2 linked regions of the Sus scrofa genome follow. The protein of the gene in region 1 purifies or fractionates together with the protein of each later gene. This does not show direct contact. Links are inferred from orthologs where the notes say so. Each region holds a gene or a part of one and is shown on either strand. Other genes may lie near its edges. The genes, in order: SGSH and SUMF1.

The links.
Region 2: the proteins of SGSH (region 1) and SUMF1 purify together in Homo sapiens (co-immunoprecipitation; 3 studies listed by BioGRID and IntAct, with this or other methods). This does not show direct contact. The link is inferred for Sus scrofa from reciprocal best matches to the Homo sapiens genes SGSH and SUMF1.

What each region holds. Positions count from the first base shown.
Region 1 is NC_010454.4:2,240,856-2,244,676, forward strand, and holds the start of SGSH (N-sulphoglucosamine sulphohydrolase), read left to right. Parts: upstream 1-968; 5' UTR 969-1,066; coding exon 1,067-1,163; intron 1,164-2,325; coding exon 2,326-2,486; intron 2,487-2,963; coding exon 2,964-3,069; intron 3,070-3,300; coding exon 3,301-3,451; intron 3,452-3,797; coding exon 3,798-3,821. UniProt on the Homo sapiens protein: Catalyzes a step in lysosomal heparan sulfate degradation.
Region 2 is NC_010455.5:60,985,013-60,988,827, reverse strand, and holds part of SUMF1 (sulfatase-modifying factor 1), read left to right. Parts: intron 1-1,872; coding exon 1,873-1,986; intron 1,987-3,815.

The sequences.
Region 1 (3,821 bases):
CAGAGGAGGTCTCTGCCGCTTCCCTCACTGCTCTCCTTGAAGCCCACCTGCCCAGACCCTACGTGCTTCTCTCCCTTCATCGTCTCTGGCCGTTGGAATAATGATTGGCCGAAATAATAAGTGATTGCTTAATGAGAAATCTCACACTAATTAGTCTCAAGGTTTCTCCTCCCGGGATAATTTGTTTCTTTTTATCCCTCCCCCCCCCCGCCAGGAAATGTACTGGGTAGAAGTGCAGAGAAAAGCAGGGTCCACGGGGACACCCACGTCTCGCTGGCCAGGAGTGGGTGGGGGGACTGAGGCCCTGAGGGCTCGGAGGATTTCCAAGTGCGCACCACAGCAGGCTCCGCCCACTACGGCAGACTGCGGCGCTGGAGTGGGGGGGCTCCCATCCTGAGGCTGCGCATCACCCCAACCCCCACCTGTGGCGTTCGCATCTTTACAGAAGCCCTAGGTGTTCTAGTTGGTTCTAAAAGAACGCCAGAGACTCCCTCAGAAATTCCGAGGGCGCATTCTCTTGGTCTGGGCGCCCCCGGCCCGCAGAGCCCGTCACAAACCACCCCCTTCCCCTGGCCCCCGGGGGGCTTCTCTGGACACAACCTGACCCTCACCCCTGAAACCGCCTGCCCGTGATACTGGGGTCCAAGGGCTGGGACCGCACGCTGGCCGACGGTCCGTTGCCCGCCGGCCCCAGTAAGGTGGTGGGTGGCAGGGACTTGGCTGGGGACCTGGTGGGTGGGGAGCGGGGTCCCGGCCGGAGGCACTCGCACCCTGGGACCCCGCGCCGCGCCACCGTCGGCAGCCCACCGGCGACCCCGGCCCGTCCCCGGCCAGCTCACCCACTCCGCGTTGGGCCTTGCCGCCGTTCGCGGCGCACTCACCGGACCGACGCCACAGCTCAGGGTCCCCCGTCGCTGCCGCAGCGGGTCTGCAGAAACCCGAGCGGGCTGGGGGAGTGGGGGCGGGCCCTGGGCGGAGCCTGGTGCACGTGACCGGGGTGGGCGGGGACAGGGCCGGAGCTGGTGGTCACGTGACCACGGGGCGGGGCCCGACTGGAGCTACAGCCATGGGCCGTCGGGAGCCGGTGGGTTGGGTGCTGCTCCTGGCACTGGGACTCTGCTGTGCGCAAGGGGGGCGCCGCCGGAACGTGCTGCTGATCCTCGGTGAGTGCGTCCCCGCCGACCTCCGTGGCCACCGCCCTCCACGGACGCCGGTTGTCGCCCCCCAAAGCGGCCACTCGCCCCTCCCTACCCGCGGACAGTGCTAAAGCTTCGTGCCCTGCAGCCCCCGTTGCAGTTCATTCTCGGTCTTCCTTCTTTGCTGCCCCGACTCCTTGTAGTCAACTCTTTGGAGAGGTGGGCCGTGGGGGCCTGCCCCCTGCGGGGTCTGGAGGGGTCGGCCCCAGCATTCACACCCCACTGCTGTCCCCGGTTCTGACCCAGTGACCAGAACAGCCAGGGCTAACCCTGCGGTCCCCGCCCACATCAGGAGACTGGGCGGCTTTCCAGAACTTGGGAGTCCACAGATGGCAGAGGGAATGCCAAAAGAGGAGCTAGTGCCTCAAGTCCCTGGGGTTCTCATCTTCTCCCTAGCAGTGATAGCCCCCTAAGTTTGCCCTTCCCTTCTTCAGACCCCAGAGCACTGTGGCTCAGTTCTCCCCCTGCCTGAAGGGAGCAGCCTCCACCACCCTGAAACCCCAAGTTCCTCTAGCACCGTGCTCTTCATGCGACTTCCTGCTTGGATGACCCTGCCCAGCTGTCACAAGGCAACCTGATTCTTTCCTCTTTTGAGGTCTGGCTCTTTGCCAGGGTCACTCTCTCTGATTAACTTTGTGGTCTCGGGCAGGCCTTTCAGCTAACTGTAACTTAGCACTCCACTGAGGGCTCCCTTCAACTCCCCCACCCCTCTGGAGCACTGGCGTAGACTCTGCACATGGATCCACATCCTGGTGTGTGTATGCAGAGCCCAGGACTGACTACTCATGCCTGCCTGCTAGCATGCCCACCTGAGCATCAGGCCCTCAATAGCGCACATGCCTGCCTGGATCTCATGCGATTTATGCCTGCCCGCTAATGTGCTCACCCAGTTTTCATTATGTGCCTATTGGCATTCTCACTCCGGTATCATTCCTGCTGAATATCAGGCCCACTTGGGTTATGCCCCCCTGGGCATCACTCCTGCCTGATATCATGCTGGCTCAGGCATCACTGACCCAGCGGCAGGAGCAGGTCTCCCTCACTCCCACAGAAGGCTGCTCCTTCTGAGCCTAGCCCTCCTTCTGAGCCTGAGCCTAGCCTAGTGCTCTCTTTCGCCCACCTTCCTCAGCGGACGATGGAGGCTTTGAGAGTGGCGCCTACAACAACAGCGCCATCACCACCCCTCACCTGGACGCCTTGGCCCGCCGCAGCATCGTCTTCCGCAATGCCTTCACCTCCGTCAGCAGCTGCTCGCCCAGCCGTGCCAGCCTCCTCACTGGCCTGCCCCAGGTGAGGGTAGCAGGGGGCAGGAGGAGGGCATGGGAGAGGGAGGGCTGCCAAAGCCTGTGCCCACAGGGAACCCCTCTCTGGTCTCCCTAGGGATGTGCCCACCTTCCCTCCCCTACCCCCAGCCTAATGGTTGAAGTGCAGGCTGGGAATGGACTACCCACCTGTGCGTCCTGCTCCACTACTCTGCGTGACCTTGACCAAATCATTTACCTCTGTGTGCCTTATTTTCTTCACCTGTAAAATGGGGTTGGAATAATACCTCACTCATGGAATGATTTTGGGATGGGTCAAGCTGATACCCTATACTTAGAGCACACAGCAAGGGGCTTGGCAGGTACTTGTCCAGCCCAGTGTTGAGTCTCGTCATGATATGGTCCAAGGAGCTTGTGCGCCCATGAAAGCTGGGGGGGTAGGCTGGGGTGCGGGGGCACCCTGGCTGTCAGATGGCGCCCTGCATCACGGCATCTCTGCTGGCAGCATCAGAACGGAATGTATGGCCTGCACCAGGACGTCCACCACTTCAACTCCTTTGACCGGGTGCAGAGCCTGCCGCTGCTGCTGGGCCGAGCTGGTGTTCGCACAGGTGAGGGGCTTCGCGCAGCTTCCCTCCCTGCTCCAGAGGGGCGTGGCCTTGTCCTGAGCCACTCTGGACAGCGTCACCTGCTCTGAGCACTTAACCCCAAGAGACCCGGGCCTCTTGGACACATGAGAACAAGGGCCTGGCTGTCCTTGTGGAGGCTTGGAGTGGGAGAGGGATACAGAGGTGGGTAGGGGACCAAAGGGGCTCTGGACAGATCTGTCTCCCCGGCTCCAGGCATCATTGGGAAGAAGCACGTGGGACCAGAGGCCGTGTACCCGTTTGACTTCGCGCACACGGAGGAGAATGACTCCATCCTCCAGGTGGGGCGGAACATCACGCGGATGAAACTGCTGGTCCGGAAGTTCCTGCAGACTCAGGACGACAGGTGCGAGGAGGGCCCTGCCTCTTACTGCCCGCACACAGCCAGACCTCTTAGCAGTTAATACAAGATGAAAATCCCAGAGTCTCTGGTTGGCTTCTTGGAGTCCCCAGACAGCGGGGGTGTGGATGGGGGAGAAGGTTCCAGACACTCAAGTTGATCTGGTTATCAGAAGAGGGGACGTAGGGAACCTGAGGCAGTGTAGATCACAGGGAGGCTCTCAGTTATGGGGAAGTAGGCAAAGCTGAGGGGTGGTTCTTCCTAAAGGACGGGGTTCCCCAGGGCAGAAGCCAGGTGGTGGCTCGATGGCTGACCTGGACCCCAGTGCTCAGACCCACTCTTCCACCTGCAGGCCTTTCTTCCTCTATGTCGCCTT
Region 2 (3,815 bases), on another chromosome or scaffold:
ACATTAATTTCTTCTTTTCTTTCTTCTTCCTTCTAGCTATTATTCCATCTTACTCTTTATGATCATCTCCAAATTCTTGAAAGAATAGTTTATGCCTCTGGCCTCTCCTCCTTTACTCCCTCTCTGACCTTTGAACTCTGACCTTGATTTCAGCAAGACGCCTCTACCTTTGTAGAGGACAGCTCACCTTCAGCCTGATCTCTCTCCCTCCAGGAAGTTTCTGTGCATTTTCTTTCATCCTCTTATCCTACTCATCCCACCCTGCCTTTCAGGCCTGGATTTTTTATTTTTGGTGCCATCTTCCTCTCTCTCTCATTAAAGCTCTTTTACATCTTAAGGCATCAAACCCTTCCTGCCTTCAGTTGACATGCATGGAATTACTGAATGAAGCAATGAATAGGCACCCTGTTTCCATGATGTATGCTTAATAAGGAAGCAGAGTGATGAACAATTTCAGCTTTCTCCTTCATCTGGATTAAGTTCTTTTTCTGCATAGCTTCACAACTTTGATTGAAGTGCTCTGAATTGCCCAAGTATCAGATGTTTCCATATGTATGCATAGATCTGAAATCTTCTGAAGCCAAATAGAAATGAATTTTATTCCTTTCTGTCTGACCTCATTCATTGGGAAAAAACTTGACTTTGCAGGAAGATTTTTTAAAAAAGAACCTTGAAGATAACTTGATATTTTTTTCATTTAAAAAAAATTTGTAAAGATTTTCTTCAGATTTGAAAATTTCTTTTTTTTTAATTTCTTAATTTTTTTTTTTTTTTTTTGGTTGTTTTGCCTTTTCTAGGGCTGCTTCCGCGGCATATGGAAGTTCCCAGGCTAGGGGTCTAATCGGAGCTGTAGCCACCAGCCTACGCCAGAGCCACAGCAACGTGGGATCCGAGCCGTGTCTGTGACCTACACCACAGCTCACGGCAATGCTGGATCCTTAACCCACTGAGCAAGGCCAGGGATGGAACCCGTAACCTCATGGTTCCTTAGTCGGATTCGTTAACCACTGTGCCATGACAGGAACTCCCAGGTTTGAGAATTTCTACTAAAAACTGTTGGAAAAAATTTTGAGGCTTTAAAAGTAAATGTGTTCTGTACATATTTACTTTTCAGTCAAAGATTTTTTTTTTCCTGACCTCTATCCCACCCTTCTTTTTACACAAGCTTCATGCTTTGGTACCGAGTCTTTGACAATATTCTGTGGCAGGCTGTCTGGTCTGCCTTGAAACGTGATATAATTGCTTTCTGAAGAGTCCGTGTTACTTGCCTCATACTTCAGGTCCCAAAGATTGCAAATCCTTTGTGTATTATAGTTATGGTTGATAACAAATTCACGTTTTCTTTATACAAACAAGTCCCCGCAGTGTTTTAATGATGAAGACTGAGGCTTAAAGATAAGCTGGTGAGTTGGTGGGGGCTGGTGGAGAGGACAGAATTGGCTTGGGGGTCTCTCCGTGCTCAAAGACATTGTGTGGCCAACAGAGCTCAGCTATGATGACAAAACTTATACCACCTCTAAAATGATGTTTCTGTTATGCTTTTGAAGGTCTAAAGATCATGACCTCCCCTCCCTCACTGCCCAGTCAGATACAGATTTGACTTATCATCAATAATAGTCTATCAGGAATAATTTCACTGACTTTCTGACCATGGAATATTAACTCTCCTTAGGTTTCTAAACTCCCCTTGACCCCCTGAGAGCTCAGGGCTTTTCTTTGTTTTTACATTGGCCAGATTGTTATTTTCACTGTTGGAATGAGAATTAATATTCTTTGAAGGCACAGCTCTTTGTACATTTCTGCACTGAAGAGATTTTCTAGAAAGACAAGGTGAGTAGTTTGACAGCATGTCCCCCCCTTTTTTATTTTTAGGTTGATGCCTTTCCTCCCAATGGTTATGGCCTTTACAATATAGTAGGGAACGCCTGGGAATGGACCTCAGACTGGTGGACCATTCACCATGCTGCTGAAGAAAGAATTAACCCAGTAAGTATCAGTCTCAGAGTATGTATCATGAAAAAGCTGCATCTATTCCCTGGACAGTCTGTGGCAGGAGTTTCATGTGTTTCTGCAGGGTATTTATGTACTAATGAAATTAATCTTGAAATGTCCCCAAAGGGATATTAAGCATTATTTCAACCTTAAAGCATTGAGTAGAAATGTCTATGGGCATTTTGCAAGCTGCTGGATTATGATGGTGATAATGGTTTGAGGGACTTTTCCTATAACTTTAGAAATTATATTCAACCTCATAAATGTGGTCGAAGTGAGATAAAGAAATAACTATGCAAAACTCATTAATGTTTATTAATAACTAGTGTGATCTGATAAATGGTATTTATTATACAGCTGCTTGCCTGAGTTTTCATTGGTTGAAATTTTGCTTGAGGAGCATTGTTTGGGGAAAATGAGAAAGGATTTTTTTTCTGGGTGAATGTTGAGTCAGGAAGTTGAGTCATTCCGTGATTATTTCCTGAACTCCACAGTGTGTCAGTTCAGTGCATCATAAACCTTGGGAATTTAGACAACCACGTTTGCCTAAGTTTTACCTGTTCTGGTATGGGAGGAATGTTGAATGCAGCTAGTGTACTACTTTGCCTCTAAAAACCAAGCGCTGCCAGCAGAATATACAAAAATTGAGACACGGCATGGGCATGTGGGTGTTAAGTACATCCTTTAAAAAGAATGTGTCTGTGAATATTTCTTGTTGTATGAACAGATTGTGGGGGAAATACCATTTAAAAATCCTATCACTAGCAAACTAGTCATTCATAAGTCAGATTTAGGAATGTGTATTTATACCCAAACTAGCTGGACTGGGAACTTAATATGCTTTATTTTATTTTATTTTATTTTATTTTATTTTATTTATTTATTTATTTATTTATTTATTTATTTATTTATTTATTTATTTATTATCTATCTATCTATCTATCTATCTATCTATCTATCTATCTATCTATCTTTTTAGGGCCATACCCATGGCATATGGAGGATCCCAGGCTAGGGGTCTAATTAGAGCTGTTGCTGCCAGCCTACGTGAGAGCCACAGCAACGCCAGATCCAAGCTGCATCTGCAACCTACACCACAGCTCACAGCAGTGCTGGATCCTTAACCCACTGAGTGAGGCCAGGAATTGAACCTGCAACCATGGTTCCTGATCCAATTCGTTTCTGCTGTGCCATGACAGGAATTCCTAATACGCTTAATTTTAAACTGTAACCCTTTGAAAAGGCACAAAAGATAATGATAAAGAAAATTAATTCTTCAGTCTCTTCTTGGTGGAGGGTTAAGCAGCTCAGAGTAATTGAAGAAATTGTCTTGGGCCCTTTTTCAGAATGTGGGGATAAATTTGTTTGATGTACTTGATTTTTCTTCACAGAATAACATGTGGGTTCATCATAAATAATCTAGAGAGAGAAATCTACTTTCTTGGGGGCAGTTGAAAAAGCTGAGTTCTTCAGAAATGGTCATTTCCCCCTCATTTTCCTTGTACTTCCTGGCAGGGTTGATGGAAGCAGTGGTCAGAGACAACCCATCTCCCCAAAAGGAGAATAAGGTTGTGAAATTCTCGGTGGGTTTGTGGCTGGGAGATGCCATTCTCTACGGGCAAGATGTGACTTGGCATTTGCTGTCAGAAGCAGAAATAGAATTTTTTTCCCCCTCAGATCAAAGCATCTGCATGTTTGGAAGGGGGTACGCAAGGCTTCAGAATTCTGGCAAGTTGTGAGTGTATCTCTCTCACCATCTGCTGTCGAGCTGAGTGCTTATTAGCTTTCACTTTTATAATTGCTTTTGTTTCTTCTAAGGATTT